3 linked regions of the Rhinolophus ferrumequinum genome follow. The protein of the gene in region 1 purifies or fractionates together with the protein of each later gene. This does not show direct contact. Links are inferred from orthologs where the notes say so. Each region holds a gene or a part of one and is shown on either strand. Other genes may lie near its edges. The genes, in order: LRCH3, SUGT1 and DYRK1A.

Region 1 (7,010 bases):
CTTGGCTTTAAATTTCCTATAGGGTCTAAACAGAATATTTTAGGTAACATAAACTGAGTCTGAATTCATCAAAGTACCTGGTATACGATAACATGGATGGACCAAGAGGGTTTATGCTAAGTGAAATAACTCAGACTGAGAAAGACAAATACCATATGATCTCACTTGTATGTGGACTCTAAAGAACAAAATAAACAAACAAAACAGAAACAGACTCATAGATACAGACAACAAACTGATGGTTGCCAGATGGGAGGCGGGTTTGGGGGCTGGGTGAAAAAGGAGAAGGGATTAAGTACAAATTGGTAATTACAAAACAGTTACGGGGATGTAAAGTACAGCATAGAGAATATAGTCAATAATGTTGCAACCGCTATGTATATAGTGCCAGGTGGATACTAGATTAATTGGGGGATCACTTCATAAATTATATAAATGTCTAACCACTATGCTGTACACCTGAAACTAATATAATATTGAATGTCAACTGTAACTGAAAAAAATAATCAAAGTACCTGGTATAACAGGTGGACTATGGTTTTGAAGTTACCTCAAGCTAGGTTCAAATACTGGCTAATACCACCTTACCTGGCCTTTAGCTACAGGTCTTTGAGCAAATTATCTTCTCTCTCCAAACCTTGGGTTTACTATCTGTCAAAAACAGGAATGGAAATACCTATCTATACATAGGGAGGCTGTGTGGCATAGTACAGAGAAAACAATTAGATGGACCTGGGCTGAAATTCTACCATTAATTCTAGTTATATGACTTTCTCTGAGTGACCTCTCATCTGCAAATTTTAAGTGATTCCTCATATGTAAAATGGGGATAATAATATTTACTCGATTGGTTTTAAGCATTTAACAAGGCAATGTATTTTAAAACACCTAACACACTGAACAGCAAGCAGTGACAACTCAATAAATGATCTTATCCACATCAAATTATCTGTTTACAATAATTCAGAGAATAGTTCAGTGTTTTTGTATTTACCAAGGTCTGCCAAAGATTTCTTATACTTAATAAATTATAGTTCTAACATATTAAGATGATTTTAGTCTAATAGGTTATAAAATACCTTGTAGTCCTTTTTTTAGTTTTCGATCAGATAAAATGTCAACCAACAAAAAATTGGTTTATATAGAAACTATTAAAGTAATAAATGTGGATAATAACAAATTAAAAATTCAGAGTACAGTAAGGGAACAATTCATTGGGATTACTTATTAGACTTCATAAATGCCCTTGGGTTTTCTTTGTTAGTTAATAAAATATTCCTTAAAGGCAAAACATGTTGGTCCTACAACTATTTTAAAACAGGTTAAGATAATGAGCTAGATAAACTCCTGTTAATCAATTTGTTCTTTAGCTTCAGGCTTAATATAGTAATACTGAAATGACTCACACCAATATGAAATTGCTACGCTATTTCCTGAATACTCATATGCCATACAGCCATCTCCTGAACAGAATCAGAAGATATGGGGCATGAATGACAAGTTTAGATGTTGTCTATCAGAACACATGCCAAAGACAAGTGGCTGTTCATATTTACCTTAGCAAGAAAGTTTAACTTAATTATCATTCACTAAAAAATACAAACGGCATTCAGTACAACTGTTTCCAAAAATTAAATAAGTAGGCACTGAATTTTTTCCACTTTACACTAGAGCAAAAGTTTCTTTGGAAAGAATAGTTTCTTGAAGCAGTTTAACAGTTGTTTATTTTTCTAACATGAGTGAATCATACATATGTAATACCAATCTTTAATGAGTGCACAAACATAAGAAGGTGTTAAATTGAAGATTTTAAAATAAGATAAATAAAATGGAATAAATATAAGACACAAAGTACTACGTATTCTTTGGTTGCAAAAATACTATATGGAAATAAAACACTTCACCACATCATACTATAGAAACTTGTGTTACAGATTTTTTTCCTCCTTTGTGCAAAACATGAATAGACACAGTTTTTAATCTACTCCCTGAGGAAGCTGTATTTTAAACACAAGAGAAACATGTGTTGAACATCTCAGTAACCATTGTTCTCTACAACTAAGAAAACCTAATTCCTTATTATATCCTGTTCAAAAATATGTATAAAGCAAAAATAACTTTTTTTAAAGCATTAAATACAGCTATAGCAGGCAATCTACGTATCGTTTATAAGTAGTTTTCTTCCTTCAACTTTTTTTTTGGGGGGGCGATGATGAGAGAGGAACGTAATGGAATCTGAAGGTAGGCTCTACTTATGTTTACAAGTACATTTGGTAAGTCAACTAGATAACGGTGGCAAAAGAAAAGTTACAACGTTCGGATTCACATTAAAAACAACTTTTGAAAAAACGCCAGCGCTGAGATCGAAGCATTCCTGACAATGCAGCGACAAACGCTATTCTGATATAATAACAGTGTGCTACCATCCCAAATCTTGGCAAAGTCAACTTGGAATCTCAAATCCGAAAAGGCCTGCAGAAACCGGGGCGGGGCAAGGGTCTACCCCAGCAGAGGCATAAGTTACTGTACTGGGAGAGTACACCACCACCCATCAATCCCCTACAGCCCTCTTCCTCTAGAGATGCCGCTGTCCGCCTCACCCCAGGCTCGGGATCTGGCCCGCAGGCCCGGGGGGTGAGTGGGTTGGGGCAAGTTGCCCTCTGCCCGTTACCCGGGTCCCGATAAAGAGATGTAGGACCAACTGCTGTAACCACCCCCCGGGTCCCCCCACGGGCTGGAATGGCCTTCCGCCGCGCCAAGGGCCGCCAGACGACAGGGATACCCCCACCCAGCTCACCCGCGCGGGTGGTGTCCGTCAGGTCGTGGTTGGCCGCTCCCCGGGGAAACTCCCTCAGTTTCCGGCCGCTCAGACTCAGCACCCCAGTCACCGCCGCCTCCTCCAGCGCTCGATCGATGGAGCGGCTCCACGAGACCGGGCCAGGACCAGGACCTGCCCCGGAGCTTGGGCCGCAGTTAACACCGGAGAGGTTAGCTCCCGACGCTGCTGGGCCAGAGTATTCTGCAGCCGTGGCCACAGCGACCAAGCCTGCGGCCGCCATTTCCCAGCCGACAATCTCCGACCCGCCGGTGCAGCGCATGCGCGGCCAGAACTGATGGGTGGGCGGGGAAAGGGCACACAGACCCCGAACCGTTCCCTTCATGGGCAGGGCTGCGGTCCTGCTGCGTACATCCAAGCGCTTGCCTCCGCCCACGAAGTTTTCAAGCGAAAATAAAACGGAACTCACAAATCTGGAGCAGCCGTTATTCTAGATTTCCAGTAGCATTTCTAAAATGTCTCTACAAAAATCTTTCAGACGCTTCTCACCAAAACATCTCTGTCGTCTTCCCTCAGTACTGGAGGATTAAGGAGGATTAAGCATTAAGTTAAGGCTTCCTAACACTTGCTGCCAGAAACTTGGGCAGTGAGAGAAGGGGACCCTGGGATACGACCTAAAACATTTCCCAACTTCGTCATTCTGTAAACCAAATGATCCAAATGGAGACATGTGGACTTACTATTATTGCCTGAGGGAAAACAAGGGCTAAACTGGATCCCAAACTCCGTAATTCTCATTGAAAGGGTTGTAGAAATATTTTAGGCCCTCCCTCCCTGCCTTTTCTGGAATAGTTCTTAATAAAAATAAAACATCTTAAGTAGTTGTCCTTGAGGCAAGATTTTAAGCAAGATGAACAGCATTCAAGTCTGAATTTTTGGTCTGAAACAAAAACTGAGGAAGAGAAAATGGTCTGGCCATAATCTAAATGTCAGAAATAAAGGTAGAACTAAAGAAATGGTAAAAAAATGAAACCAGTTACTGAAAAAGTGGAAAATACCACTTCATTTTAAACCAATTAAGACTTCAGTTATATTGCAGTCTTGAGCATTTTATCTTTTCTTTTGCACATTTAAGCTGTTCCTGCCAATTGATGTAAATTTCCCCTACAATCAATCATCTAGTTTTTTACTCAGGGCAATAGAAGAGGCTGTCAGATAGTCCTTTCCCTAGATTATAATCTAATCATAGAATCCAGACAAATAGACCAATTAGAGATCAAGACAAGAAAGGCCTGAGTAGGGGTGGGGTGGATTATCAGAATTTAATGAAAAGAATTTACATTGTGGATGAATGAGGTTTTGAATCAAATTTGGATTGTGAAGTGGGATAGGCTGGAAGGTGAGAGCAATATTTCAGATTGCGGAGGATCAGCATGATCACACCTAGGTATGATTTATAACAGTACATGTGGAGAACATGAGGGCCCAAGACCAAAAAGTTCATGTCAAACAGGTAAAGAAATTAAGGCTGGCGAGATCCTACTCACCATTCAAGGCCCAACTCTTTAATAAAACCTTGTTAGCACTTCCCTCAACTCCAAATTGGAAGAGATTGTAAAAACGTTTAATCTCAGTGCCAAAGCTAATTAGTAATGGCTACTCATAGCTGTTCTCTGAACTCAATACTATGCTAGGTTCTTCAGCAACAAGTTTCATGATCAATTGTCAATGCCCTTTATGAGCTATGGGTCACTGCAATAGTAAGTGATGTGTTTGTTGTCCCTGACAAATAATATTTATCTACTACATGAATTGATTTTTGTTATTCTGGTCTACCTGAAATTTTGTTATTCTTAGAAAGATTTTAAGCTATTTTAGAGTAGGATCTCATTTTATAATTTTAGATACAGTATTTCAACTACAATGATTAAAAGCATAATCCTACATGCCATATTAACAATGCCAGAAAGTTGCCAGATACCTTTCTAAAATGCGCCATTATATTATCTATATTTGATTACCTATTACCTTACACATTTACATTAAATTCTTCTTCTGACAAGTTCTCCATAATATGGTTTAATTCCTATCTACCTGCACATCTCATAATTGCAACATTTCATGTTAACCTTGGTCTCTGAACTTCTCGCCAAGTTTATAGTTGATGTTACCGTGTTTCCCTGAAAATAAGACCCAACCAGAACATCAGGTCTAACGCATCTTTTGGAGCAAAATTTAATATAAAACCCAGTATTATATTATATATTGTATTATATTAAAGCCCCGGCCTTATACTATAGTAAAATAAGACCGGGACTTTTATTAATTTTTGCTCCAAAAGATGCATCAGACCTGATGGTCCGGCTAGTTCATATTTTTGGGGAAACACAGTACTTTATCTATTCAACTAGATTTTAAAGACCTTAGTATGTTAAGCTACCTTTATCTTCTCTAACCCAGGGCTGAGTATATTAATAGGAGTTAAAAAATAGTGGAAAGAAGCAGAGACAGAAGATGGGTTATGTACTAACACAGTAGAGGTTATGTACTAATACAGGAAAGTTGAGAGAGAAAAAATTAGTTTTTTAGAACAGGATACTTAAGTATGTAGCTATCTGAAAGCCAAAAGAAAGGCTTGTGGATACAAGGAAAATGAAGGTGCTATATATACCATTATACGAGAACAAGTCCTAGGTAAAGAAGGCTGGAAAAAAGGATAGATCAAGGAGTTTTGAGACTTCTAGGGATTTGAGGTTTCATCTATAAAGCAAAGGTAGAATATGAGGGAATTCTCATTCTACTCCCTCAATCTCCACAAATCAAGTGACAAGATCCTTTTGCAAGAATGAGATACAGGAAATGGAGTCATTATGGGAAGTTCACCAGAGTCTAGTGATGCATAAAAGACATGATGAGAAACAATTGCAAAAAGGCTGTGAGCAAAAGAGTTACAGGCATCTATAACTTATTCCACTACTGCTCTGTGGTCTGGAAGTAGGAGTTAAAAATATAGGCAGTGGGGGTTACTGAATGTTAGGAACAGATATAGAGAATTTCCCTGCTTCTTCCTGTTCATTTTACAGGCTGAAAGTTAGGAGCAAAGGTTTCATTCAAATCTCAATAGCTCTCTCCAGCTAATCCTTTTTAAAAAGGGTCAGATTCCAAACTGACCCATGCAAAAAGAACTCTCTTTAAAGGGAAGTTTAAAAATTACATGCCTTTTGTTTTTTTTACAGTGGCAAAAACAATCATAATTCTGATTAAAGTTCAAAGACATACTGATCAAAAATAAAATCATTTTCTGCCCTAATACTGCCTACATTCAGAACGTATGGCATTAATTCTCTTTAGTGCAAAGTCAGCTATTTTTCTGTTATCCCCTTATAAATCAGAAAAATTACCTCCCCCTAAAAAGAACAAAAATTACCCTGATACTGGATGTGTGAATTATAAAGCTACTGACAGTAAAATGATATACATATCTATTGTAACAAAAAAAATAACCATTGGTCAATGAAGTCTATGTTTCTTCATATTTAGAAGTATTTTATGATTTGTTTATAATTAAAATTGTGGTGAAGTTTATGCCTGTTAAAAAAAAACGCAGTCTGATTAGGAACACTGGCCTTTTCTAATAGGTCTACATAATTTGAATACCGAAGTAATGAAGTCTCATAATCATTACTGGTAGATTTACCTACCATGCTACAAAAGCTAAAGTATTGGTTTTACCGCTTTTTAGGTATCTGACAAGCCACACACCATTCCACTACTTTCTGTGGGTGTTTAATTCACAGTTTATTATGAATTGAGAATTAAAAGATCTAAGCTCAAAAAGTGACTGCCCCACACAAGTCTTGAAAAACCAGGTCTCACTTAACTAAGATGTAAAAAGAGGGGATGAACTAGATGATCTCTAAAGGCTCATCCAGGCCAATATTCTGCATTCTAAGTAAATGTGACTCTCTATTTTAACTCCTCCTGGCAACTTCCTGTTGGAGCTATGAATGAAATGGTCAAAAGGCAGTTTAGAGGGATTGAATATGAGTCTAGATTGATTTACCAATTTAGCTAGTAGGTAGCTTTTAAAACCCTAAAAGTTATAATCACTACAAAGGTTTTACAATAGAACAATCTAAAAACCACAACTCAATCTTTACAGCTAAGAATAAATCACGTGAGTACTGTAAGATTTTATTTGTTAAAAATGAACAGCTTTAGAATAGATCTAAAT
Region 2 (7,755 bases), on another chromosome or scaffold:
CTGTTTAAGACTTGGATGTTAGAAAACGAATTTCTAAATCTTTAAAATTTTAAGCTCAACAAGGTAACTGGTTGTTAAGGTTAAAAGCAAAAGCAGACTGCTCAGATTGACCGAACATCTGAAGACCTTCAGCTCTGGGCAACTCAATTCGATTCCATTTTCTGTTTTCTTCCAGCCACAGCTAATCCCCAATTATGGATAGTAAACAATATCAACCCTTCTCCCTTCCTAAACTACCTAATACCGCTGGAGAAAAAACATAACCATGCAGCACTGCTGCCAACGTGCATGTCTGCCAACCGGCTATCCTCTCCACAAAGCTATCTGTGGTCAGCCACCTCAAGGTCAGCTCCCACACTGTTCACTGTATCACACATCCTACCCCCTCCCCCAGAGGATGGCCAATGCACTGAAACCGCAGACATCACTTCTAAACTGTCCACCCTTGAGCAAGTTAATCTCTTTAGCCTTGGCTTCCTTGTTAGAAAATGCAAATACCCACCTCGAAGTTGTTGCAAGAATTATGGTAAGAGTCATTTCACACATCTGAGTGCCTACCAGATCCCAGGCACTACACTAAGAACACAGTGATAAACAAGGTACACAGAATTCCTCCTCTCTCGATGCTTACATTAGGGCCGAAATTGAACAGCGTGGTCAGAGAAGACAGCTTCTCCAAGGTGACACTTGAGCTGAAATCTAAAATTATGAGCATCCCCAAGAAAAACATGAGAAAGATGGAGAGAGAGTACATTTTAGGCAAAAGAAAGTGCAAGTCCAAAGACCTTCCAACAGGACTGAGCATGACACATTCAAGTAACCCGAAGAAAGCCAGCGTGGCTAGGACAGAGAGAGGAAAAGAAACTACAAGCTGCTTATCTCATGGGCCTCCTTACATTACTGGGCACTTTATATTACTTACCTTCATAATAACCTTTTCAAATAGGATCTATCTTAGAGACAGGAATTCTGATCCGGAATGATAACAGAAATGTACCTGAGATTACACAGTTGTGAAACCAAGACTTGGACACAAGCAGTCTGATTCCTTGCCTATTAAAATCAATTATGCTGTATTTATACAATGGAATACTACACAGCAATGAAAAAGAATCGCACAATTATATGAATGCATCTCACACGTTTAAAGCAAGACAGAGAGCCTACACTCAACGGATTTTGTTTACATGAAATACAAGAACAAGCAAACTAACCGATGGTGTTGGACATGAGAATAAGGGTTGCCTGGTGGGAAAGGGGAATTATTGGCAAAGAAGAAGCATGAGAACGCCTTGAAGATGAAAGTGGCCTTTATCTTGATCTGGGTGTCATACACACATACAAACTAAACTTCATTAGTTGCAGACTTCAGATTTGTGTTATTTACATATAGCATACTTCAATAAAAAAATTAAAAAGTAAAATAAGTGAGATGGAAAGTGACATCAATCACCTTTAAAAGCAACTTTTATATAAACTTGATTTCCAAAGGAGGCACTGGGTCTAAGACCATCACTAAGTCTGTAAATAGCTATCTAGCTAACCTAAGGAATTGTGGAGAAAAATTCTCAGTGTCTCCTGTAACATTACTCTAATGCAAGAAGCCTCACTAGGAGCGGGACTACTTTATTTGAAGGCCTTCAGATGCAAATCCAAAAAACATACCCGGACCTAAAAGGCACTAAGGGACCCAGCTCATTATTTCCTCCCCACCTGAGCCCATACTCCCTTTTCACCCCACTCTAGTCAAATGGGAGTTTTTGCTGCTGCTTGTACAGGCCAGTTTCATTCTGACCTCAGGACCTTGGCACTGGCTCCTCTTTCTACCTGGAACGCTCTTTCTCCAGAGCTTCCCAGCTCATTCCCTCAGGTCTCTACTCAAATGTCACCTCAGAGAGACTCTACTACCATGTGGCAAATTATTTCTAGAAGTCATAGCTAAAAAGAAGTTCTCTTGCCTCCAAATGCTAACCTTAGGTATGTTAGAGGGTTTGGTTTCTTTTCCTCATGCTTCAAAGCAAGAAACCCCTGGTTAAATTTTTGTGATCCCCTGTATCACGTATCCTATTACTTTCTACAATTATTTAACTCTTGCCCTTTTACTTTCTTTTATGGCTTTATAGTCTTTCACTTCACACAAAAGGCCTTGTTAAGTCAGTTAAATATCTCAATAAGCCTTTAATCAATAGCAATTGGTGCCTTGCACACAGCATCTCCAAAAAATATTGTTCTAATGAATAAACAAATGAAGACCGAACAGTGGCAGGACATGTGGAAATTTTCAGGGACACAGAGGGAAAGGGGTTTCATTCCAGAAGTTTGAGTTCATACACTCAGGATATTGTCTGGTACATAAGAATGGCAAGGATGATTGTCAAACGAAAAGCCGAATTCAACAAATACCATCAAGCCTAGATGTCACTTTTTGTCCTAGTCACATGTCATTAAAAAAAAAAAATCCTTCCAGACCAACTATGCATGGATCTCAACTACAGAAACAGACAAGGTTTTTCTAAGGAGCTGCTAGGATGCAGAAACGGTCCGGGAGTCGGAGGGGACAAGAACAGCGTGGAGTAAGGGGGCCACTGTGGAACAGGGAAAGGAGAGCGGGAGGCTGTCAACACCAGGGCTCAGACACAGCAAACACAGCCCCCCCCCCCCACCCCCGGTCCCAGGAAGGCATTTGCTGGCAAGAGGAGGGGTCGGCCTCGTTCCCCGAAGGACAGTCCAGGAGGCTGAGACGGGTTCTCTCACCTCTAACGCCGCCTGGGGGTCCTCGTCGATCAGAGCATCTGAGAAGCTCCGGAAAAACCTGCCAGGAACACAACAACTTCAGCCGGGCTCACTAACCAAGGAACCGGAGAAAGGGGGATAACCATAAATAGCAAAGAGAAGACACACACAGCTGGGCTGTTGCAGGTCCCGCTGCAGCCGCCGCCATCCCTAACAGTCACTGCTGCCGCTGCCGCCGCCGCCGCCGCCGGAGCTGCCGCTACCGAGGTGACCAGGTCCGCGGCCGCCCAAGGGGGAAACTTCTGGAGACACACCAGCCGAGCTTCCGTCCTAAATAGCCAACGAGCACCCACGCAGCGTGCCGCGGGGGGAGGGGCGGCGCGAGGCGGCCGCGAGGCCGGCTGGGATCGTGGAGGACCGAGCCTGCCGGCTGACCCGGCCTCCGTGACCGCGCTCCCAGACCCCGCCTCTCGCAGCCATGGTGACAGAGGCCTCGACTGTTCAGGTTTGCGGTCGCTTCCATTGCGGTCGCTTCCACCGCGCACCCCGCAGCCCGACGGAGCCTTCACGGGTGGCAGCTGACAGGCACTTGGGAACGAGTGGCGTTTGGGGGCCTTTGTATGTCTGTTAATAACACAAGCCACTTGGCGCTCGATTTTCACAAGTCACCAGGTATCAAGGTTACAAGAGGCAGCCAAAGTCTTTCCTGCCCCGTGACGTCATTGGCCGCTCGTGCTCGTCCGACACAAAGTTCCCGGATGGCGCCTGGCTTCCCGGGATCTGTGCGCTGGGAACCCTAACGGAGTGGGACTGAGCGGAAGTTGTTCTGCCCTCGCAGCAGCGGGACAGAAGGAGGTCTTTCGTTCCGGGGCGGGTGTACGACTCCATTACCCAGAACTCCACAGGCCCAGGTTTTCTCCCCAAGTGGCTTCCCAGATTAAGAAAAACCTGTTCCATCGGAAGGGAAGAAGGTGGCCTGAAGGTGTCTCAGAGCTGCTTTAGTTTCCACCCTAGTCGGTCAGCGCCTCCCTCACCGGCCTTTGATGCTTGCGGATCAGATAGAAGCTTCCAGCAAGTTCCACGGGGGGTGGGGTGGGGGGGAGCAAGAGGGCGTGGGAGTAAGTGGCTTAGTATGTTACCGGTGCAGGGTCCTTGCCCCCTCTCAGGATAGAAATCAAGAGGGGGCGAAACAGTTTTGCAGAGAGAAATGTGTATTAAAGCAAAAGCTTGATACACCAAGGGAGCACACGCTGAAGGAGAATGCGTGTGGCTCCCCGAGATTGACAGGTACAGCGGTTTTATAGGCTCTTGAGGTTGGGGGCAACCCCTTCCTCTTCTTCCCCTCCCCAAAGTATGTCGGGGCACGTCTACACTGCGCCTGCACAGTGCTCCTACGTGCTCCTACCTGCCGTGCATGGCGTGTCTCATCAGCAATCTTAAATCTCCCCCTACAGGTGTTTTTAAGCATGATAATGAGGAAAAGTGAACTATAGGACAACTGTTTTAATTATTGTGCATGCGCGACTTTAGAAACTTCCTGGGCCGGCTTCTCTCTCTTGTAATTATGAATCTTCTGCTCACTGTTTCTTATTAGTGGGGGAATGTGGCTCGAGGATGTTGTCCCCAGCTGCAGGCTCCAGGCTTACTGACCACTGACTACAAGTAGAGGTAAACAAGTAAATAAACTTGAGTGCCTACCACATCCAAAAATCTAAACTCAGCCCTAGGATTCAAAGATGTCGTGCTTTCCAGAAACTTAAACCAATGCTGTTAAGCGCTAACGTGAAATCGGGAAGTCAATCACGTGAGAGCAGGAAGGCGCACTTGGAATAGAAGGTATATGGATTCCTCAGAGTTGTGATACCTGAGTCGCAGCCTTCAGACGGGGAGTTAGACTCAGTCGATCATGCAAGTGGAAACGGTAATTCAGACAGAATAGGACGTGTGTTGGAAAACGATAATGTGAACTCTAAAAATGGGTAGAGCCAGAATTCAAGTTAGAAGCAGACTTGCTGGAGAGGTAGGTAAATGTCAGGTCAGGAAGGGATAGCTAGGTGTGTGGTCTGCTCAGAAGCTTGGATGGGATTCTCCTTTTTAAAAAAAAAAAAAAACTTATTTTAAGTGTGGCTTTGTGGGGACAGAGCCCCAGAGAGCAGTTTCCAGGCTCTCGGCCTCACGTGGAAAGGTGCTGGCTTGGGTAGTAGATGGCCATCAGCTGTAACCAGTGAGCCATTGGCCACTAATGTAACTGCCGCGGCTACATTGGGGAGTCGAGGAGAGTCGTCGGTCGGTTGGCAGAAAAGCGGACAGCAGGTCGCACATCGTGTGAATCCAGCCTCCAGTGAGACTATACTGGTATGACTTCCCTACCTATGGCTCCGTGGGTGTTCCTTTTTGGCCTAGCCATATCCTGCGTTCTTATGTGGGGAGCGGGACCAGAGACCCCGCAGGCCGCCCCGCGTGACAGCCTTTCCAGGACCCATCAGCTCCAAGTAAAGTAGTTGTTTCAATCTAGTTGTGGAGGGCACAGCTCACAGTGGTCCATGTAGGGATTGAAGTGGCAACCTTGTTAAGAGCACCACATTCTAACCAACTGAGCTAACCGGCTGCCCGGATGGGATTCTCTTAATAATGCTAACCCATTATAAGGATTTTTAATCAAAAAAGGCATTAACAGTCAAGTTTGCATTTTTAAGTACATTATTCTATCTTTGCTGTGGAAGAATGATTAAAGGGGAAAGGAGAATAGCTGTTGGGAGACAATTGGTTTACAGGCCAAAGTGACTCTTAAATCAGTGATTGTAGGGATGGAGAAGAAGGTAAGAATTACAGAAATATTTATTTGAGGTAAACTGTCTGGGTTTGCTGATCTTTTATGATCAATGCTTTTTATATCATACATAATAAGGCTTTGCTTATGCCAAAGCCATGAAGATATTCTCCTGTGTTTTCTTCTAGCTGCTTTATTGTTTTACCCCACTTATCCAGATCTATGATTTATCTCAAATTAATTTTTGTGAAAGGAATGAAGTTGGAATCAAGGTTCATTACCTACCCCCCCATATGCATACCCAGTTGACCCAGCCCTACTTATTGACAAGAACGCCATTTGTCATTTCCCCACTAAATTCTTAGGGCAACTGTGTAAAGTAATGACTACATATATATGTGGGTCTGTTTCCAGGTTCTTATTCCATTGGTCTGTTTGTCTAACTTTGTACCAGTACCACAGTGTCTTAATTCATGAACCTTTATAAAAAGTCCTGAAGTCCTATAACTTTTTCTACCCGGTTACATGGTTACCTTGGCTATTCTAAGTCCTTTGGTATTTCCATTATCCTATAAATTTTGCAAATTTCTATTTATTTATAAATTTTAGAATGAGCATGTCAATGTCCAAAAACCAAACAAAACCTTGCTGGGATTTTAATTGGGGTTGCATTGGAGCTATAGATCTAGTTGGGGAAAACTGACATCTTAATGATGATTCCTCCAATCCATGAATATCGTACACCCCTCCATTTGTTTAAGTGGTCTTTCATTTCTCTCAGCAGTGCTTTGTAGGTTGCAGTGTAAAGTTCTTACATAGATTTCACTGGATTTAAATCTTGGGTATTTGGTTTTAATGCTATTTTAAATGGCTTTTAAAATTTTTTGTATCTACTTATTTGTTGCTAGTATATAAAAACTACTGATTTTTACATATTGACCTTATATTCAGCCATCTTGCTAAGTTCCCTTATTATTTCTAATACTCTGTAGATTCTCTTAGAAGTTCTGTGATCACAATTTTGTCATCTGTGAATAAAGATTGTTTAATGTCTTTCTGTGCAATCATTAGATCTTTTATTTTTCTTGCCATCTGTCACTGGCTAGGAGATCTGCTCTAGTGTTGAATACAAGTAGTGATAATGGACTTCCTTTCTTGGTTGTAGCATCAGGGGAAAGCATTCAATATCTAATGCCTGCACTGAAAAATTCATATGTATTTTTCTTTCACATGTTAATGTGAATTACATTGGTTCATTTTCAGATGTTCTCTAGACGGTCAATATGCGTATGAAAAATTCTTTATCAATAACTATATTACTGACATTAAAATCACAATACTAAACACTCCCACCAGAATGTTTAAAATTAAAACGAATTCCAGTATCAAGCATTGGTAAGGATATGGAACACCTAAAACTTTCATATATTGCTAGCGGAAGTATAAATTACTATAACTACTTTAGAAAACTTTTTGACACTATTAATACTAGTCATACATATACCTTATTGCCCATTAATTCTTACAATGGGCACATACCCAAGAGAAAAGAGTACTTAAGTTCCTGTACAAGAAGATTGAATTGCAGCATTATTCACATACCAAAACCTGGAAATAACGTAAATGTCTTTTCACAGGAGAAAAACATTAAAGAGCAATGATTAAGAATGAACTACCAATACACACAACAGTATGGATGAACATCACAAATAATGTTTAAAGAAGCCAGACAGAGTACATCCTGATTGATTCCATTTATATGAAGATTTAAAAAAACACAAAAGTGCTCACTTCAGCAGCACTTATACTAAAAAAACACAAAAAACTATATGGTGAGGAACATCAGAGGGTGATCTGGCTCGGATGAGCCATGAGGGAACCTTCTTGGATGCAGGAAATGTTACATACCCTGGGTGGTAATTACACCAATGTGTTCAGATGTAAAATTTTATCAAGTTGTATACTTAAGATTTGTGCACTTGATGATTCAATAAAATAGGGGGGAAACGATTTAAAACAAAATAAATGAACAACCAATTTGAAACTTAAAAAACCATGACATTTACAATGGCATCAAAAATACTAGACTGAAAAATCTGACACAGTATGTGCAAAACATATACATTGAGAATTACAAAACATTGCTGAAATTAAAGAACACGTAAACAAATGGAGAGGTACTCTACGTTCATGAGTCAGAAGACTCAATATTAAGATGTTGGTTCTTCCCTACTTGGCCCATAGATTCAACA
Region 3 (7,805 bases), about 52 Mb from region 1:
AGTTCCTACCAGTAGGATAAGCTTGTTTATGTAAATAAAGCTCTGAGAATAATGAATGGCGCTCTTCGTCCAAATTTTTAAATCAGTGTGAAAACAACGTTTTAAGGTGTATTTTTTTTTTTTGACAATTTGGGCGGAATTCAAGAACCAAACGGTGCTCACATTCAAGTGAGGAACCTAGATTACAATATTCTTATAATCGAGGGTTGGATGAAAGGCATAGCCAAATAGTTGGAGTCCATCACTCACTGATTTTGCCATTTTTAACTATTTCGGGGAGGGGCCTTTCGCTAAGTGTTAAGATATTCAGCAGTTTCGGTGGATCTAAGTGAGAGTAGCTTTGTATCTGGGAATAGACTTGTGAAGTTTTGCTGCAATACCCAGATATCAATTATAATTTACGAATTCTCAACCACCAATTCCTCCGGCTGCTAAACAGGTCATCACTCCCCCTCGAGTGGCCGGGATCACTTGCACTCACGGCACAACTTCAGAGCCCGCCGAGTGCCCTCGCTCCAACACACACCCCAAAGGGCCGCGGAGGCACCCGGCTCCCGACCTTCCCCGGCGCCTCGCCCAGCAGCCAGCCCCATTTTCTTAACCCGTACATTGTCCTTGCGGAGAACCCCGGCGGTTCCCACACTGGAGGGGACCAAGAGGAGGGACGAGGGAGGAGCTGGGGGAAGAGGATGAGGAGGAAGAGGAGGAGGAGGAGGAAGACAACCTCCTCCCCTTTGCTCGGGCGACCAGTGAAGGTCTGGCGGTTTCTCCAGCCCCCAGGCCCCGGCTCCCGGGAGGCCGCGGCCCCTGCTCCCACCCTCCGCAACTTTCCCTCCGCTCGCACCCGCCTCTCCTCCGGGACCGGGCCAGTCGGGCTCCCTCCCCCGGCGGCCAGCCCCGGGCCGCGGCGCCTCCTCCTAAAATGGCAGGTCCCTCCCTCCGCCCGGCCGGCCTCGGCGCGGGCCCGGCTGCAGGCCGCGGGGGGAGCCGGGCGCCGGGCCGGGCGGGGCCGCGGCCCGGCCGGACACTCACCAGGACGATGGCGGGGCGCTCGCGCCGCTCCCTCCGGTGAGTCTCAGCCTCCGGCTCCCGCCGCTGCGCTCCCGCCGCGGCCTCCGCAGCCAGCGCCGCCCGGGTCGCCGCTCTCCGCCCCCGGCGCTCCCGGCTCCGCGGCCGAGCCGCAACCTTCTCAGTCTCTCTCCGGCTCGCGGTTCCAGCGGCGCCCGGGGCCGGGGAGGCGACAGCCCCCTCCCCGGCAAATACCGCAGTCCCCGGACCCCGACTCCCGGCGGCGGGGCCGCGCGGCCCGGCCCGGCGCGGAGGGCGGCGGCGGCGAGGCCGGGCGCCGAGTCGCGACCGCTCCCGGCGGCTTCTTCTCGAGGAGGATTTTGTAAATCTCACAAAATGGCGCGCGCTCCAAACCTGCGCAGCGAGAAGCGCCGGGGCCCGAGCGGCGGCGGCGGCGGCGGCTCCTCCGCCAGGAGAGCCCGAACCGCCCGCCCCCGAGTCCCTGCACAGACAGACAGACACTCACACACACACACGCACGCACACTCGCCCTCGCACACGCTCACTCACACACACACTCTCACACTCACACCGGTCCCGCCCGCTCGCCGGCGGCGGCAGCGGCACCAACAGCAGCAGCAGGAACAGCAGCAGCAGAAGCGGCGGCGGCGGCGGCGGCGCCCGCACCCCCCGTTTGGGGTGTCCGCTCCCTGAGCCCGACCTGAGCCGCGATCAGCAGCAGCGACGGCAGCAGTCTCCCCGGATCCCCCCGCCGCTCTTGCCGCCGCCACCCCCGCCTCACTCCAATGGGGCTTTTTATTATTATTCGGGCGGGAAGCGAAAGGGTTTAAAAAAAAACCAACCAACAAAATGGCGACGGACCGACCCGGTCGCTATAGCAACTGTCAATCAAAACGCAAAACCCCGGCTGACGTGCTAACGTCCTCCTCCCGCCCCCCGGCTCAAGCCGTTGGGCGGGGCCTGTTGCTCCGGCAACGGCAGATTCCGTTCCCTCCTTTAGTTCTCCCCCTCCGTACCCAACCAACCACCCAACCCCCTCAGGTCACGTGAAGGATAAATTCGGAGCTCGGGCCCGCTACGAGTGTCAGAGGAGGGCGCGTGATTCGCTCGGGGGAGGGAGAGGAGGAGGATGGCAGGGCGGAGGGAGGGGAGAGGAAGGGGGGCGAGGCGGCGGCCCGGCCCGTAAGCGAGCGCCTGCCGCCTCCCCTGCCGCCTGGCCGCGCCCCGCGCCCGCGCCGACTGCGGGCAGAGGAGCGCGCGCGGCCTCTGCGCCGCCACCCCCGGAGCCCTGCGCTTCCGCGTCGTGCGCCCGCAGCCCCGCCCGCGCCGGGGGGAGGGGGGTCGGGCTTTGCGGCCGCGTGGGGACCCCCGGAAGCCCACCCCCGCGCGCCCTGGCCCAGGGCTCTCACCTTCGTTTCACGGTAGCGCGCCAGCCGAGGGAAGGCAGCCAGGGTGCGCACGTCCGCGCGTTTAAACTGTTCTTGGAAGGGCTCGCGTGCCCCCCTCGCCGGAAAATGCCCACGGAGGCCGCGGCTGGGGGTGGGGAAGAGGCCGCCTCCGCGTTTCAGACATCTCAGGAATTCCGGACGCTTCGCCCGAATCCGGGATGCCCCTGCGGCTGACACCTTGATTAAATCATGCCACACGGTTTGTGTAGCCACCAACGCCAACGTTCAGAAATTGTGGACGGAACCATCATAAAAACTTTTTAGGCTGTGCACGCTCTCCCTGGCTTTCCCACCTATTTCAGACCTCTACCCACCTTGCTGGGCGCTGCCTTCTCGATCGGAATAACCCCCTAAATTAACACGACCTATTACTGTATCCTTGTTGCCCAACACCGTTTTCTTTTTCATGTACCATCTCAGTTTCCAGATTCTGAATTCGCCCACAATTCTTTATTAATATTCTGGCTTTCATGTATTTTTATTATATCTACCCTTTCTGCTTAAATGTTGGTATGTGTCCCTACCCCCCGCCCCCCAGGCATTAAAACCTAGCTGTGCTAGTAGCCATGCTGTGCTGGGTACTTTGTAATCAATAGACAGCCACTGGCTAAAAATTGTATTTTGTACCAAGCCTAATAAAATGGCACTTAAGTGTTACGTTAAAAAGGATAACAGATACTATTTTACACCAAGACACTTAATTTATTGATTGATTTCTAAGTTTGGTTTTTGCCATCATATAATAGTGTTCGTATCAATTTTTTCTTAAGCTTAAACTGTTCACAAATACAGTAGCAACAGATACAATCTTAGTAAAGAATAACAATCCTGTAATAAATACTGGTTCTATCCTATGTAACTCAAGGAAAGACACTTGCTTTAAATGGTTTCCAACAAATGTTTCCCTCCTTCAGTGATAAGAACATTGATACACTTAAGGCAACCATTCAAATTAGCACAGGCCCTGAAAGAAATCAGACCAAACCTGAAATAAATGAGACAAAAAGTAGTCGGGCAAAAAGCTTACTTCAGGCTGATTCTCCTCCGTGGTATAAAAAGTTGCCATGACTCACAAATTCTTTTGGATTGCCGACTTTTTCAAAATTGCCCTGCTAATGCAATTAAAGTCCACGTTCAGCCCGATTGTTTTGAAGAAACTGGCCAAGAGGGTCCATGTTGAGGTGAGAAATCGCTACCTTAATTCCTCCCAGACTCACGTCCACCTATATAACCAACCCCTCCCCCACTCGGGGTTTTCTTCTCCCTGCTCCCCACCCCCACCACATTCACCAGTTTCACTTCTATCATAAGCACTGGAGCATTAGCAACCTTTAACACTGAAGTTAAATTTGAGTCAAATTTTTATTGGTGGTAATGAAGGAAACTTGCATAATTAATTTTTTAGATAACCTGGAAACAATATGACAGTGTCTCAAGAAATGGGCCCTTGTCTTCAGTCAAATCAATCTAGAAGATTATAAGGGTGAGGCAAAATCTTGAGCTTACAATCATGCAGTAATTGAAGGGATTTCTGGTCTTCATATCTAGAAGGCTGCACCCTTCCCTCTCAACCACACAGGGCCAGCCCCACCCCCACCCATGTGACAGTCTTACACAACATTGATCAATGAACTGTCACTGTCATGTCCAGGTTGAAATGCTGTAAAGTGGTTTTAATAGGCTTCACCTAAAAAGTAACCTATAAATTATGCTGGCCCAAAACAAGTAAACAAATAGGCAGGAAGGACTCTGGTTCAGATGCCAGTTTAGTGTTGACTAGGTTTAGCGATTGAATCCTTGCTGTCATCTGAGAATCTCATCACATCCACTGACTGATGTATCTATTCATAGAAGTTAAACTATAAAAGCAAAGACCCCACCCAACTCACAGATAATAACAGCCTCCACTAATCCAGTACATTCTAGGGTATGTCTAATCCTCATAGAAACATTTCATCCCCATTATACAAATGAGAAAACAAACCCGGAGTAAATAACTTTCCCAGGTTACACCACCAGTAAGTGGTGAAGCCAAGATTCAAACCCAGGTGTAATTGCAAAGCCCATTTCTACCACACCAAGACGATCCAAGATTATTTGGATATCAGGTCTTTATAGAGGTAATCAAGATGACATCATTAGAGCGAGCCCTAATCCAATATGACTGGTGTCCTTATAAAACGGGGAAATATGGACAGAAACAGACATACACACGGGGAAGACAACGTGAAGACACAGAGAGAATGCCATCCACAAGCCAAGGAATACCTAAGGCTGGCAGAAGCTGGGAAACAGGATTGAATAAATTCTCCCTCACAGCCTCCCCCAACACCTTGATTTTGGACTTCTAGCCTTCAGAACTGTGATACAATAAATTGTTGTTTAAGCCACCTGATTTGTGGTACTTTGTTATGGCAGCCCGAGCAAACTAACATGCAGATTCTAACCAAGATGCTGGTTTTTTTGTTTGGTTCCACACCTGTTAATGACCATACTAGGTGATACACTATACGAAGCTCAAAAGTTCAGAAGTCAGAACCCCACGAGTTATAACCCAAACATTCCAAGGACAAAGAAACGAATGTTCCTACGACTGCCCCTCACACCAGGTTAGAAGGGGAACAGTTTTACAATTCGTCCCTGGACAGTGGCGCAGCCAGAATCTGACAGCGCTGCACTTCTTACAGACTTCTGAGTAAAGCTCCTTCATTGCTCCCCTTGTATAAGCTTTATTGTTAGTTCTGATTGTAAAAGTTAGTCAAGTGTATGAAACAGATTAAAAGGAAACAAAATAAACCAAGAGAGGGGCCTTATTTAAACTGATAATGATAGCATGCTATGAACCAAGAAGTTAATACTCAGTTCTCTACACTTGAGGTCCAAACACAAAAAATGAAAGTAACATGTGGACATGAGAAACAGTTTTACAATAGGGAAAACAAAGAGATAAAGATTATTCATAGATTTTTAAAAAAAGATTATTCATAGATGTCACCCAGAGATAAACCTCACTCATATCTTCATATTGGCATATATCCTCCCAGACATTCTTAGGGAAACACGCATGTGCACACACTCGCAACACATGTAGGTATGTTTTATGCCTTTTTTACTTGCAATTATGAACGTGTTTGGTGTTAATCAACTGAAACTTAATTATTTTAACAGCTACAAGTATTCCATCAGTTGAATGGGCCATAATTCATTTAATTGCTCCTCTATTTTTAAAGAGTTTTCCTCTTTTTGGTTATCATAAATAAAGCTGTATAAACATTGCATATATACATTTTCCACACCTGTCTGGTTATTTCCTTAGGATAAGAGCATGAATCCTTAAAGAGCTTTGATCGTGTCGCTAAAGTATTCTTCAGAAATGATTTCACCAATTTGCACTCCCAAAAGTAGCGTGAGGATGACTTTTTTCCACTCTTGTTTTAATTTGCATTTGTTGGACCATTTCATGTCTTCTTTTTTATATACATACTTGTTGGCTATTTGTCCTTGCCTGTGTATATATCCCAAGCTCATTTAGGGGAAAAGGAAGAGGTGTCATCTTTTTGTTGATTTCTTTCTAATTTTACTGCAAAAAAGAAGGAAATTGGATGGCTATATGCTGTTGTTAGGCTAGTGTATGATATCAACACCAGACACCCATCACCCCAATTTATCCGTTACCATCTCCATTCCTTGCCATCTGACAAGTGGGTCTAGCCCAGACGGCTTCCCTGCTCTCAGCTTCACTGCCCTCACCCAACCCACTCTTCTTACCTGGACCACGTGCTCTGCCATGACGGAGAGCACGTGGCAGAGCATGGCAGAGCACGTGGCCCAGGTAAGCATCATCAGGTTGCTTACAATGTTGTTTCATGGCAAGATGTGGTTCTAATGGTGTCATTTTTAAAAGTGAGGATGATATGTATTGCTTTCCTGTCATGTAAGAATGTTTACCAATATTATTTCATGAATTATCTTTAATATTTTCTTTTTTGTGACATCAAAATAAAGGTTAAATAGAAAATGTAAATGTTAGATTAAAGCATATTAATTAATTGCATGGTTTTGGAATATCCCGAAAAAGTATTTTACAACATTTGGTCAGGATTTAAAAAGAAATACACTTTAATATATTGATTCATATATATGGCAGCTTCCTCGAAATTAATAGTTTGAGGGAAAATGCCCTAATGAAACTGAAAAATAATTAAGTACATGGAATTTAAATTAGGTAGAGGAGACACAGAAATCTACAAAGATCGCTTACTTGAATGGTTCATTAGCTCAACAGTTCTTGAGAGATTTGGCTTATTTTCTTGGCTTTTTAATGTAGGTATGTAGTGGACATCATTTAATATTCCTACAGTGTTTATCAATATGTGCATTTACTGCTACTGTCTTCAACATATTTCCTATTTTACCTCAATTCAATTCAAAAGATATTTATGTGGTCAGAGCAGTGGTAGTACTTTATTCTATCATATTTGTTTGACTGTTTCTCAACTACAAGTGCTTTTAGGGCAAGGATCTTATATTTTCATCTTTGTATCACTAGCACCATATCTGCCATACTGTAAATACTACTTTGTTTTGTATTTTTAAATGCATGATGAGCTCCTGCAATTTTCTTCCAGTTTTCCTCCATCCTATATGAGGTTTTTGGCAATCAGAAAACTTGAAGGGAAACTGTCCAGTGATTTGTAGACAAGTAGGAAATGTTCTCTTCTGATCTTAAAATGGATGGAATTTCTCTAGCACCAGAGGACAGATTGTTGCAGTCAGCAAAGCTGGAAGACGAAAATCCCACTGAAGATACAATGTCAGTGATTACCATGAAGCTGGTTAGTTCTGTTACAGCAGTGCTTCTCAAACCAGTGTTCTTGCACAGTCCGCAGCTCAGCCCAGGTATAGTCAGTTTGAGAAACTATAGATTTGGGCATTCTCATTTGACAGAGATTTAGACAGGACCTCTGTGTGTCCAAGTCTGTTAACTTCTATGTCCCAAATGCAAAAATAATAGCCTTCTACCGACATGCCCTGTTAACAGCTTAAGGGCAGGGTCAAAGAGCCAAAAGTCCTTTTATGAAGGCTAGCAAACGTATCTTGCCTGTCCATTCCCACGTCTGAATTTACTTCCAGAATTTTAAAAGCAAAAATTGGCTGCGGGGAGGGGAATGGTGAAGGTGGTCAAAAGGTACAAACTTCCAGTTAGAAGACAAAGATACACTAAGGCTGTAATGGTAACAGCAAGGTAATGGCCGTTAACACTGTTGTATGGCACACATGAAAGTTGTTATGAGAGAAAATCCTAAGGGCTCTCATCGCAAGGAAAAA

The links.
Region 2: the proteins of LRCH3 (region 1) and SUGT1 purify together in Homo sapiens (co-immunoprecipitation; 3 studies listed by BioGRID and IntAct, counting the BioPlex papers as one, with this or other methods). This does not show direct contact. The link is inferred for Rhinolophus ferrumequinum from reciprocal best matches to the Homo sapiens genes LRCH3 and SUGT1.
Region 3: the proteins of LRCH3 (region 1) and DYRK1A purify together in Homo sapiens (affinity purification with mass spectrometry; 3 studies listed by BioGRID and IntAct, counting the BioPlex papers as one, with this or other methods). This does not show direct contact. The link is inferred for Rhinolophus ferrumequinum from reciprocal best matches to the Homo sapiens genes LRCH3 and DYRK1A.

The regions. Positions count from the first base shown.
Region 1 is NC_046285.1:50,211,004-50,218,013, forward strand, and holds the start of LRCH3 (DISP complex protein LRCH3), read right to left. Parts: upstream 3,096-7,010; 5' UTR 3,060-3,095; coding exon 2,798-3,059; intron 1-2,797. UniProt on the Homo sapiens protein: As part of the DISP complex, may regulate the association of septins with actin and thereby regulate the actin cytoskeleton.
Region 2 is NC_046287.1:9,065,309-9,073,063, reverse strand, and holds the start of SUGT1 (protein SGT1 homolog), read right to left. Parts: upstream 3,076-7,755; 5' UTR 2,942-3,075; coding exon 2,904-2,941; intron 2,813-2,903; coding exon 2,755-2,812; intron 1-2,754. UniProt on the Homo sapiens protein: May play a role in ubiquitination and subsequent proteasomal degradation of target proteins.
Region 3 is NC_046285.1:102,489,453-102,497,257, reverse strand, and holds the start of DYRK1A (dual specificity tyrosine-phosphorylation-regulated kinase 1A), read right to left. Parts: upstream 3,003-7,805; 5' UTR 2,439-3,002; intron 2,081-2,438; exon of another isoform or gene 1,033-2,080; intron 1-1,032. UniProt on the Homo sapiens protein: Dual-specificity kinase which possesses both serine/threonine and tyrosine kinase activities. Exhibits a substrate preference for proline at position P+1 and arginine at position P-3.